Rattus norvegicus: one gene and its partners. The protein of the gene in region 2 interacts with the protein of the main gene of each other region in a pairwise test. Links are inferred from orthologs where the notes say so. Each region holds a gene or a part of one and is shown on either strand. Other genes may lie near its edges. The genes, in order: Insr, Sh2b1 and Ntrk1.

Region 1 (3,522 bases), on a different chromosome or scaffold from region 2:
TGTCAACTCCTGATACCCACATTGAAGCCTGGCACCCACGCCCACCCACGTAGGCATGACTCACCACATGTCGGAAGAAGCAGTGAAGACTCCGTCCTTCAGGGACTCGGGTGACATCCACCTCACGGGCAGCAACCCCTTGCCCCCTTTCCGATAGTAATCTGTCTCGTAGATGTCTCTCGTCATTCCAAAGTCTGACAACAAACAGTTCACAGGCTTTTCAGGTCATCCTCCTAGCATCTTGAGTGCTCCACCCCTCCAAGCACCACTAGAGGTCCTGTAGGTGGCAGGCGAATTCGCCAAGAGGGGATTCTTGAGGTGTGTGGGAGGGTGTGGACGGAGAACAGGGGCTGTCATCCTTCCCACCTACTCCTTTCCCAGTGTCCCAAATAGACCTTTTTCCTTTCCCAGACAATCTGCTGCTCCCTCGACTACACTTGGGGTCTCCTTTTGACCTTGTCTCTTGCTGACACTCCCAGTGGGCAAGCCAGCCTCTCTGCCTCTGCGTCTCTCTCTAACCCATCTCATTTCTCATTTCCCTTTGCAAAGTCTTGGCTCACCTCCATGCCTTCCCTGTACATCCTCCGACCTGGGTCATCCTCCTACACAAGGGCAGCTATGTGAACAGAATCACACTCCTTCCAGTTCTCATTGGTTTTGCTTCTTTCTTTCTTGAGACGAGCTCTCACATTTGCCAGGGTAACTTTGGACTTGCTACATAGCTGAGGATGACGTTGAGTTTTTTATCTTCCTGCCTCTACCTCCCCAAGTGTCCAGATACACGCACCACCACCCTTGGGTTTAGAAGGGGGGGTGGTCGTTGTTAATGTAGAAGGTCTTTAGGATCATAAATATAGAATGATGTCCCATCTTCCTGCATATAGGTTGATGTCTTTGGGTGTATTCCTGTATGACTCCCATTGTTATGTAGAAAAATATTTCCTGGAATCATATATAGGTTCTTCTCTCTAATGTGTGTGTGTGGGGGGGGTTGGGATCTTTATGGGACCTTGCCTGGTTGCAATTCTCACTGAGAGGCAGGCTTACAAAACTCGTACATGCCTGCTTCTTGGCCTTCAGCTTAACCGCACGGCTCACTGTCCTTGGGTCCCTCTATACCTGTCTTACCCACACATTCCAACCAGCATTCTAGACACTTAGCCTCTGCTTCTGTTTGTTGCCTCTTTCTTCTGCATTCTCTGACTCAACCTTTGGTCTTGCCAGAACCTCTACTAAATTTCATAGTAAATTTGAACTGTCATCTGAGCACAGGCTAGCATCAGACAGAAAAGCCTCCACTAAAGAATTACCTATGTTGGACTGACCTTTGGGCATGTTGATGGGGAATGTCTTGATTGCTAATTGATATAGGAGGGCTAGGCTCACTGTGGGCATCACCATTCCCTTGGAAGAGACTGCTGGGCTATACATGAAAAGCTAGCAAAATATGAACCAGAGCAAATCAGGAGGCAGCATTCTTCCATGGTTTCTACTTTAAGTTCTTTCCCTGGCTTCTCTCAGTAATAGACTACAAGGTGAAATAAATCCCTTCCTCCCCGAGTGGTTTTATTTATTTATTTATTTATTTATTTATTTATTTACTCACTTATTTTTGATAGAAACAAAAAGGAAACTAGAATAGAAATCTTAGCTTTCTGGGCTGGGAAAACACCCAGAGTGGGTAAAAGTATTTTTCAGGCAGCAAAAGGACCTGAATTTAGGACCCCAGAATCTACCATGTGACCTATACCCTATAATACATAATACACACACAGTCTCTCAGTCTCTCAGTCTCTCAGTCTCTCAGTCTCTCTCTCTCTCTCTCTCTCACACACACACACACATACACACAGTCTTTCAGTCTCTCTCTCTTTCTCTCACACACACACACTCACACACACAGTCTCTCAGTCTCTCTCACACACACAGTCTCTCAGTCTCTCTCTCTCTCTCACACACACACACAGTCTCACTCACACACACACATACACACATACACACACACAGTCTCTCAGTCTCTCTCTCACACACACACATACACACATACACAGACACACAGTCTCTCAGTCTCTCTCTCTCTCTTTCACACACACACACACACACACACACACACACAGATTTGAAGACACACCTCCGATTTTGACAGTAAAATCATGGGCAACCATGCAGTTCCGAGCTGCCAGGTCCCGGTGCACAAACTTCTTGGCGTTCAAGTATGCCATGCCATCGGCAATTTCTGCTGTCATCTGAATCATTTCTTGCAAGGTAGGGGGAGGACGGCCTGGGTTGTTCTAAAGTCAAAACATGGGTTGCAGTTAGCACTCTGATTCCAACTAAATCATCTCTTACAGGGTGTGTGTCGGGGGCTTGGGGGTGTAGCCAGGGTCATTCTAAAGTCAAACATGGGTTAGCGTTTATCGTATACTTAGATCGGGGGCCTGCTAAGGGGCCTGGAGGCAGCTTACCTCAGCATCGGGCCGCAGAGAACGGAGGTGACTTTTCAGGTCTCCATGAGCCATCAGTTCCATCACTACCAATGTGGGCTGGCCTTTGGACACCACCCCAAGAAGGCGGACCTACAGAACAAGCATGGAGGTGACTTGACAAGGGTCCAGGTTTTATAGTAAGTGACAATGAACTCTCTGTCTGATGCCTATAGCACACAGGCCACCCTGTTTGGATGAAGCATGGCCAGCCCTAGTCTAAGGGAACAAACAGACCCACTCGTATAGAGAACATTCCAAGCAAAGCTCACTGGCCTAGTGTGCCTCAGTATATAAACCATGTTCCTACCTCCAGACCTTTACAGTTCCCGCTCTCCGTAGCCTGTTCCCTCCCTCCCACGCACATGTGCTTCCGTCTCACACCCTTTAAGACTTTGCTCAATGGGGTGGGGATTTAGCTCAGTGGCAGAGCGCTTGCCTAGCAAGTGCAAGGCCCTGGGTTCGGTCTCCAGCTCCGAAAAAAAGAAAAAGAAAAAAAAAAAGGCTTTGCTCAAATATACTACAATCCTCTTCCCCTCACTTTAATTTCTCCCAGCATGCCGTACCGTTTGGGAACTGTCTTCCCTGAAATAGAATGTCTGAGAGGGAGGTCAAGAATCTGCTTCAATGTCAGCAAGAGCAAGGCATTTAGGTGCTGATAGCTAGCAAATTCTAATGAATTGAAGGAATTGAGGGAAGCTTCTTAAGACTGAGAAAGTAAAGAGGCTTACACTGTCCAGGAAGTAAATAATTCATACATCTAAGAAAGTTCTTAAAATTAATAAGATTCACAAGACCACCAACAACAACCTTTCTAGGATTAAATTAGTAGTAAAAGCTTTAGATAGAATAGATTCTACCATCTCGCAAGCTGCCTTTAAGTTGTGCAGAGAGCACGGATATTCCAGATTTCATGAGCCAACACTCGGACGAGGATGGGGTTTTTGGTGATTAGGTACCTATGCACACCATCCACACTCGTGTAGGTGAACCCATACTCTTACAAGGAATTGAAATAACCTCACTGGCTCACCAACAG
Region 2 (4,322 bases):
TGAGCCACCTCTCTAGCCACTGTCACTTCCAGCTACCCACCTACCCACCTTCCTGTGGGCTCACCTTGGGTGGTACAAAGAACTCCAAGCGACTTCCTCCTCCTCCTTCTCCTTCACTCCGGAGCAGTAATCGACATTTCTGCCACTGAGGCTGCCCTCCTCCTCCCGAGGTCAGCCCAGCTGCCCCTCCTCCACGACCTACTCCTGCTGGGTCAGGGGCAGCCTCTTCAGCCCCCATGAAACTCAGCAGCTCTTCTCTCTGTATCACTCCTGCTCCGTCTCTCAAGGTTCCCCCTCCACGACTTAGCCTTAGCCTCTCAAAGCGATGAGTCCATCTCTCCCCAGGGGATGTGCCATCGTTGGCCAATGCCCTACCAACTGTCCCAGCACCACCAGAGGAGTTGGAGTTGCTGTTTCCACCTAGAACTGGAGGACCTGATGTGGTCTCCAGAGGCCCAGCTTGGGAGGGAGATTCAACAGCCCCCCGCCACTGCAGGATGCCTCGGACAGAACCTCTGACTGAACGACCCACCGAGCGGAGGGAGAAGCGTTTCTTGAGCTTCGGCTTTGAGGACGTTGTAGAGGAAGAGACTGAGGAAGGAAGGGGGCCAGCCAGGTCCTCAGAAGATCGAGAAGGGCCCAACACTGCCAGGGGCCCACCCACCCTGCAGCTCTCAAGGGACAGGTCATGTGATGGTGGGATTTCCACACCAGGGCTCAATGGAGCCAAGACAGGTGGGGAGAGTGAGCCCGAGGCCCGAGCCACCTCAGCTTCGAAGTGCTGCAGGAAGAGCTCAGCAAAACGGCCAGAAAAGGCAGCCTCTGCTCCCGGCTCTGCATATTGTGGGTGGGAGGCCAGATAGAGGCGAAAACGGCGAGCAAGATCCAGGGCAGCAGCCCTCGCATGGGACTCACAGAACTCTTGCCAACTTGGGGGAGGGGGTGGTGGCAGCGCTGGTGGAGAAGGGAAAACCCCATCCTCTGGGGAAGGGGCACCATTCATGATGTGCCCCAGGAGGAGGACAGGGGGAGCCTGCAGGGAGCAAATAGGAAAGCAGCCAGAAGACTCGAGGTGAGCGCCAACAGCTGTAGAAAGAAGAGGCATAGACACTGAGTTACGGCAGAAGTGAGATTGAGTTATGTCCTGGCCCAAACCAGGGACTCCCCTCCAGACTCCTCAGAGGGCAATGGGGGAAGAGAATTAAACTGTTTTGCCCTCTTCAAGATCAACAGCCCACATATACCCCAGGGACGAGGGATGCTAACTAAGCCCAACGTCCATCCTGCATCCTTTGCCACCACTCCCCCTGCTGTGGGATCCAGGAAAGGGTCTTGAAGCATCTAACACCACAGAGGACTCTTACAGATCTGCAGCGTCCCTTCTCTAAGACAAAGTCTTCCCTAACCATCACACTTTAAATAGGACATTCCAGAGGGTTCCACAAGGTCATTTTACCTTTCCTTAGAAAGCTTAATAACCTCTTACAGATGAGGAAACAGAGATTCAAACAAGTTCCAGAACTCAGAGTCTACTGCATTTCCCACTGCATAGTTCTAGTCTCTAGAGACATGCTAGACCAGCCTCAACCACAGCTCCTACTGCTCTGTTCTCAGGGGGCCAAAGGGTGCAGGGATTACAAAGTTTAGAGACCTGGCATCATAGGTCCAATAAGTGGAAGATGGATCGAAGGATCAGCTGTCTGCGAAGCTGATCTGACAACCCAGCACTTAAGCCCCGTGTGGAGACTCTGATTGGCTGATGGCCAATCTCTCTGGGTTGCCCCCTGTAGTCTAGGGCTGACTGAAAGCAGCGCTAGAGAAAAGGAGACGGTATGTTGGGCCAGGACAAGTCTCTACTAGCCACGTAAGTAAGACATCACAAGGAGCCGGGACTCAAGATTTTTCTCTCCCTGGGGGGTGTGCCTGTGAGACCGGGACTAAAGCCCCAGCTCAGCCCACCTGTTAGCTATGTGAACCCAGCTTTTGTATCTGTGGAGCACAGCTCATAACGTCTACCTGTTACACTTGTCAGGAGAAATTAAATGGCAATGAACATGTCTGTGCTTGACACAAAATAAGCACACAAGACATCACTGCCACCCTCACTATTTTTATGGGTCCCATTTACTCTAAGAGAAACTCAAGAAAGGAAGAGCTTCTGAGGGTGTCCCAACTCTTAAGTCACAACAAAAGGACAGAGCTCGGTGTGTAATTTACAACCAGTGGCTCTTTGAGGAGTGGTCCTGCCCTATGATATATTGAAAGAAGACACCTCTGGACAGTTCAGGAAAGTCTACCCAAACTATTAGTGATGTCTGCCTCTTCACCAAATCTACAACCAGATTGAAAGTCAGAGACCCCTCCCCTTCCTCCTTGGCCTCAGTCCTACATACTCGGATGGCTCCAACCACAGGGACAACTCCAAACCATGGAGAAGCAGCCAGGAGATGCGGGAGTCACAGAGCACAGGGGAACAGGGCCAAGAGGTGCAGGCACAGCAGAGACAGTTCCCAGCTAGAGGCAACCTCGGCTCACACAGGCCCACCCAGCCCTCAGCACTACTGGCCGACCCAGCCCCCTTCAAGCCCGCTGACCCTGCGGTTCCTGGACTGGTGACTCAGTTTCTCTTCTGCCAAGAAGGCTCAGTCACAATTTTCCGGTGCACCTGCCTCTTGGCTTAGTTCTGACATTCCAGAAGGGCGGGTGGTGGAGGGTGCAGGCTGCGCTCCAGGTTCGGACCCTCCGGGCCCCGTGGTCAATCACTCGGACCCGATCCTAATCGTTGGACACCCTCCACATGCCCCTGGGCCGGAGCCTCCGAGGGACTAACTATCTGCTACCCTCTCGGGAGCCAAGCACCCCTCCAACCCCGATCCCCCACGCCCACCCCCGCCCAAGCTTCTCAGACGACAGGGTCGAGTCCGGAGAGGAAAGAGGCACTTGAAGAGGGGGATTCCGGTTCCGGTCCCACCTGCATCTCGGTCCCCGCGCTTAGCTCCGGCGGTGGCAGCGGCGGCGGCGGCGACGGCCGCAGCTCCCGCTCCCTGTGCCCCCCGCCTCCGCGACGAGCTCCCAGCACGCGCTTCTGCGCAGGCGCTAGGACGGGTTCCCCGACGCGGAAGGAAACGACCATAGAGAAGAGCAGTAGGGAGGGCACCTTCGTACTCACTTCCGCCATCGTTCTCAGCGCCGAGCTTTCAGGACCTAGGCCAACGAAGATCTCACTGAGCTTCCTGTGGCTTCTGCAGTTGTACCTAAAAGGAACCACTGAGGCAGCTAAGGGAAGGCGTTGGGTCCCAGCCGAGCGTCATCCGAAGCAAATTCGAGACAAAGGCGAGAAGTTAACCATAGAGAAGCCACATGAGCGGAGAGAGTAGCCGCCCACTAAGAGAAATCAGCGAGATGATAAAGCTCTTTGAAGAGCTGGCTGCAGCCTAGAGCGCCTGGCCCTGCATCGAGGGGTACACGGACACCGCCCCCAGGGAGCTGGCGAGTGATGTAGCGGTGACCTTGGGAGGCCGAGTGAGCGGGCGGAGCCTGAACTTACGACCTTGGGTTTTTCAGAGGAAAGGGCCAAGGTGGTCCTGGAGGGCTCCACCTTAGACGGAAACTAATGTTGGGGCAGCAATAGTAAGGTTAGTTTTGAGCATGTTTAAGGGGCATCAGAAGGTACGTGGACATAGAGCTTGGAATTCAAGAGAGGCTTCAGGGCAAGTTAGAGGGATGAAGAACTGAATGTACAAAAAGTGCTGCTGAGACCTTGCACACAAATATCCTCTAGCAATCCAGGCTCGCATCGATCCAGCTTCACTACAACTTAAATAATTGAAAAGGCCAGAGTAGATTGGTATCGTTGGCAGGAGCCAAAAGATACCACCTGTCTGCACTTCGTCATCTGTGATTGTACTCTGCTCTGCGGTTGCCTTCACCCACAGAGGGGCTCTAGTCTCTTGGTGCGGCAAGAAGGTTTCCCATAGATTCAAATTTAAGGCCTAATGGTTTAGAAAATCAGTTTAAGGAGTATCCCTTTTTCTGAGAGCTTCAACAGAATTCCCAGAACTAGCCTAGTGAGATGCCTCTTGAGTAAAAGTGCATGTGTTTGCTGTGCAAGCCTGATCACCAGACATCACTCCCCGGAACCCACTGTGGAAAGAGAAGGATGTTGGAAAGTTGTCTTCTTACTTCCAACATGGCACACACACTTGTGACACACACACCGCTCACATGTATACAAAATGGTAATAAAATTTAAATAAGTTACACATCTGGAAAGAAAACTAAGTGATTAAGAGCCCTGGCAGCTCTTGCAGAGGACCAGGTTC
Region 3 (4,152 bases), on a different chromosome or scaffold from region 2:
GAAGCTCACATAGAGTCTCCCGTGCATACACAGATAAGGTGTGAAGACATGTTAGCCAGTGCCCACTGCCATTCTCAGCTTGGGCTCCATTTTTCTAGCAGACTTCTCCAGCATATATATGCTCAATGACAGGGGACTGTGCTAAGACTCACTTCCACAAGAGACAAGGCTCTCGGAGGCGCTTGCTCCACCCAGTGCTAAGGATGCCCCAATTGTCATACTACTGTGTGCTCCCAAACATACGTGCCCTGTGGACACCATCTGGGTTCATTGACACCAATCACACACACACACACACACACACACACACACACACACACACACTCATGGTCCCCTTATACCTTTGGTTCTTCCCCACAGCAACCCCTACTCTCTCCTCTCCAGCACTTTCCCAAAGCAAGCAAGGAGCATAGAGCTGTTGCCCCCCACCCCAGCCCCTCCTTAATTGTGAGGGACCCAGGAAGGGAGAGAGGATTGGGAAGGGGATGGAGTCTGAGTGAGTGGGTGAAGAGAGATGGAGATCTCACAGTGCGAGACACGGAAGGCTGGAGGAGGTGGGTGGCAGAGGGAGGGCAGATAAACAAAGAGTGGAAAAACTCAGAAGAGATTGACAGCAAGAAGACAGTGGGCTGGGGCGGGCAGGAAAGAGACAGATAAGGAGAGGGAGACCCCAAGACAGAGATAAGGACTTAGGAGTAGGGAGAATGAGAACCAGGGAGGCAAGAAAGCAAAACAGACGGAGAGACGGAGCGAGAGCAAGCGGCACTCGGGGGCGGGGTGCTGTGGGCGCAGTCCCATCTTGTAGATCTGGCATCTAAGAGTTCCTGTGAACTCACGCCCTGTAATGATATGTCCTCCTCTCTCCTCTCCATCCCCATGTGTGCTAGGGGCCCCCCGACTCACTAACCGTTCTCAGAACTCTTCCCCTTGTTTAGGAGCTTCCCCTTAGTTAAAAAGAGCAGCAAGGAGCAGGTCAGGCCAAGGGACCCTGTCCTTCTCCCATCCCAGCCTTGTCCCCCATAGGATGGGTCTGTGTCTGCCCTCCCCCTGGAGGCCTAAGGAGTTGTTGCTAGCCCACTACTGAGGGAGTCCAGATCCCTGTTCTGCCCCCAAGGGTTTCGAGCTACAGAGACCCAGGGAGTTGCTGAGAGGATCTGTAGAGCTGGGTATGTGCGAGCTGTCAGGCAGTGTGCTTCATGCCGCCTCATTTGTTCAGATTCATAATCTGTCTGTCTATTCGAGTCCATTAGCTCCTTGTTAGCTATGCGGGTGAGGGAGGGGGGAGAAGTCTGTGCAGGAGGAGTTGGGAGCATCAGGCCCCACCCAGGGGGGACAACTCAATTCACCACTCTGCCAACCTCTTCCTCTATAGCCCAGGCTTGCCCACTACTCCTGTCCCTGGGCTGGACTCCCTTGGAGTCTTGAAAGGCTCTGGGGGAATGAGAGCCTTGATGGAAACAGTCAGGAGGCTGGACGCTGGTTTGAATGGACAGGCCTGGGAGCAACCATCTAGACTTCATGCCCCATCCCAACCTGCAGGAGCCTAGACCCAGGCCAAGACAAGGCCATCTCCTCTGTTCTTGGTCTCCCTAGGGCCATTAGAGAGAGATTGAGTACCTCCGTTAATTACCACAAGATGCCGGAGTAACTCGGTGCCAATCAGCTGCAGGCTGCTAGCTGCCCAGCAAGCAGAATACTCAAGTATTTTCCAGCCATCACTGTGTGATGTGGGGGTCCCTTCAGGTCAATTATACTCTCAAAGGTTTCACTAGCTGCTACAAAATACTTGAGTATGTTGTAACCGATTATTGCACATTGTCAAAGTACTGCAGAGCTGAAGGTTCCTCCTCCCAGCTCTGGACCTGGAAAAAAGGAGAATCTCTATGCAACGGCCTGCCTGACGCAAGTAGGGAGACAAGGTGAAAGGAGAGATGGGCGAGCAGAGAGAGAGGCAAAGGGGTTTCTTTTCCTCGCATCCAAATCAAGAAGTCTTGTGGTCAGTGGAGAGGAAAGGAGTTCAGACACCAAGCTGGTTCCTCACCATCTCCCACCAACTCCAGCTCAATCGCAAATCCAGAGAAGAGCTGGATCCCCCTCCCCCGCCCCCGCATGGCAAGGAAGAGGTTGGGGGCTGGTTCCCCCCTAAGAAAGAGTAGATAGCAAAGGTGCCGCCACACTGCCAAATTCTGCACAGCTGACCACTCCTTCATGGACTTAGGGACTTGGGCTCTTGATTGAACCCCACAAAAAGGTTCTTATCCTAGATCGCTAGACCAAAACCTGATCCACCGAGTTTCAGTCTTGCTCTGCCCCAAACCAGCACCACAGTTAGCTACCCTTAATCCTGGGCGACATCCAGACAGTGACTGCGCGGCTTTGCCAGGGTGGTGGCAGCGGCAGAAGCCGCCCCAGCACAGCCAAAGGCTACACGTGCCCGTCTCCTACAGCAGCCAAGCCTGGCCCCTCAAGCCAGAGGTGAGTGCGCGCCCTCGGGGAAGGGCTCTGCTCTCCTGACCCCGCGCCCCTCCCCCCCGACACACACACTCACAGCTCCGTCAGGTTCCCGGCGCCCCGCAGGCCGCGGAGGGTATTCAGGGTCCCTGCCCTGGTGCAGCGCAACCCCGAGGGGCCCACGGGACAGCAGGTCTCACGACAGGATGCGGCGCAAGCACAAGCCAGCATCAACGAAGTCACCAGACCGCCTAGCCCCGCGGCCGGGCGATGCCAACCCAGCTGCCCGTGCCGCTGGCCTCGCAGCATCGCGGCGGCGCCCGCCTAGCTCGGGCCGCGCGGCCGTCCGTGCGCTCCTGGCTGCCGCCGCCCGGCCTCGCGCGACACGTGCGCGGGGCGGTGTTAAAGACTAGCCACCAGGAGAGGGCGGCACCCACGGCCCCGCCCCGCCCCGCCTGCCGATGCCCCCAGTGCCCCCTCCCCTTTCGGGGCCCTATTGCCAGCTCGCCTTCCTCATGTCCCTCACGGCTGCAGGAGACCTGGGGCGGGGGACTGCCACAGATTGCTTCACATGTGTCTTCTGAGGCTGGGGGAGCTAGGAAGCCGATACCCTATTTCTCACAGTAAAACAGCTGCATTTTCAGATTTGCGGGGACCAGGAGAGATTGAGCAAGAAAAAGGTTGAAGTCCGGGTCAGCCCAGCCAGCCTCACCGTGCACTTTACCTAAGAGAGTGTTCACGTCACTTGGAATAAGTTAGATGTACGCTCTCCAGACCCTAGTAAGGAAAGGGAGAGGCCTCGCTGAGGCTGGACGCAGAATCTGGGGAGGAAAACAGGGGTAAAGAAGAGTCCTTTGAACACAGCTGGAGGGAGATTGGAAAGTGGAGACCTCTCGGTCCTCAAGAGCCCACAGGGTGGCGCTAGAAGCCCTCGCGCCGGGGCGTTGCGATTGGCCTGGGGCTCCGAGGGCGAGGGCCGGGGAAAGCTGTTCGGAGCCTTGCTTGACTGTGCCTCTCTGGTCTTGGGGTCAGTTCCCAATCCTAGCCAGCCAGCTGCGGCCCCAGAGCCGGGGTTTGGCCAGGCAGACCAAGCCTGGCATCGATCGCCGTCCTGACAAGAGCATCGATTTCTGTGCGGAGAAATTAATAGATCTCTTAGTTCTTCGGACGTGTGAGCTGGGAACCGTTCTTGGTATTTGTGAACCTGAGAAGTCTCAGACCCAGCATCCAGGCCACCAAAAGGCGAGTCTTGCGCAATGGCCTTCTTGACTGCAAGCATACGTGTCACGTTTAAGAGATACCATCCCAGCATGAACTGTCCCCCAAGTGCCTCTGAACAAATACACATACAGAGACCCACCAAGCATCCTGAGTTCTTAAAAATAACCAAACGAAGGAGGAATCTCACAGAGACGACTCGCCTCCTAGAGATTTGAGCCAAAACCAAGAGACTTGACGGAGACATACCCCCGGCCCAAGAAATTATGTCCAAAGTAGCCTCAGGAGGCTGGGAAGGGCTGTGAGAGGTGAAGCACTGAGATTTTCAGGTTTCACCAGCGGAGTCTGACCTGTCCAGGCTGCAGGAAGTTACCCTGCAGATGTCAAAGCACCTGTTGGACCCCAGAACCACACACACACACACACACACACACACACACACACACACACACACACACACACATATCAAGCCAGGGAGCCCAG

What was found.
Region 1: the proteins of Sh2b1 (region 2) and Insr interact in binary tests that used the Homo sapiens proteins (3 or more experiments, as listed by UniProt). The link is inferred for Rattus norvegicus from reciprocal best matches to the Homo sapiens genes SH2B1 and INSR.
Region 3: the proteins of Sh2b1 (region 2) and Ntrk1 interact in a two-hybrid assay, tested with the Homo sapiens proteins (2 studies listed by BioGRID). The link is inferred for Rattus norvegicus from reciprocal best matches to the Homo sapiens genes SH2B1 and NTRK1.

What each region holds. Positions count from the first base shown.
Region 1 is NC_086030.1:5,999,782-6,003,303, forward strand, and holds part of Insr (insulin receptor preproprotein), read right to left. Parts: intron 2,577-3,522; coding exon 2,466-2,576; intron 2,292-2,465; coding exon 2,132-2,291; intron 195-2,131; coding exon 65-194; intron 1-64. UniProt on the Homo sapiens protein: Receptor tyrosine kinase which mediates the pleiotropic actions of insulin.
Region 2 is NC_086019.1:190,484,321-190,488,642, forward strand, and holds the start of Sh2b1 (SH2B adapter protein 1), read right to left. Parts: upstream 2,812-4,322; 5' UTR 2,595-2,811; intron 1,087-2,594; 5' UTR 1,004-1,086; coding exon 65-1,003; intron 1-64. UniProt on the Homo sapiens protein: Adapter protein for several members of the tyrosine kinase receptor family.
Region 3 is NC_086020.1:175,548,829-175,552,980, forward strand, and holds the start of Ntrk1 (high affinity nerve growth factor receptor precursor), read right to left. Parts: upstream 2,822-4,152; 5' UTR 2,761-2,821; coding exon 2,549-2,760; intron 2,468-2,548; exon of another isoform or gene 1-2,467. UniProt on the Homo sapiens protein: Receptor tyrosine kinase involved in the development and the maturation of the central and peripheral nervous systems through regulation of proliferation, differentiation and survival of sympathetic and nervous neurons.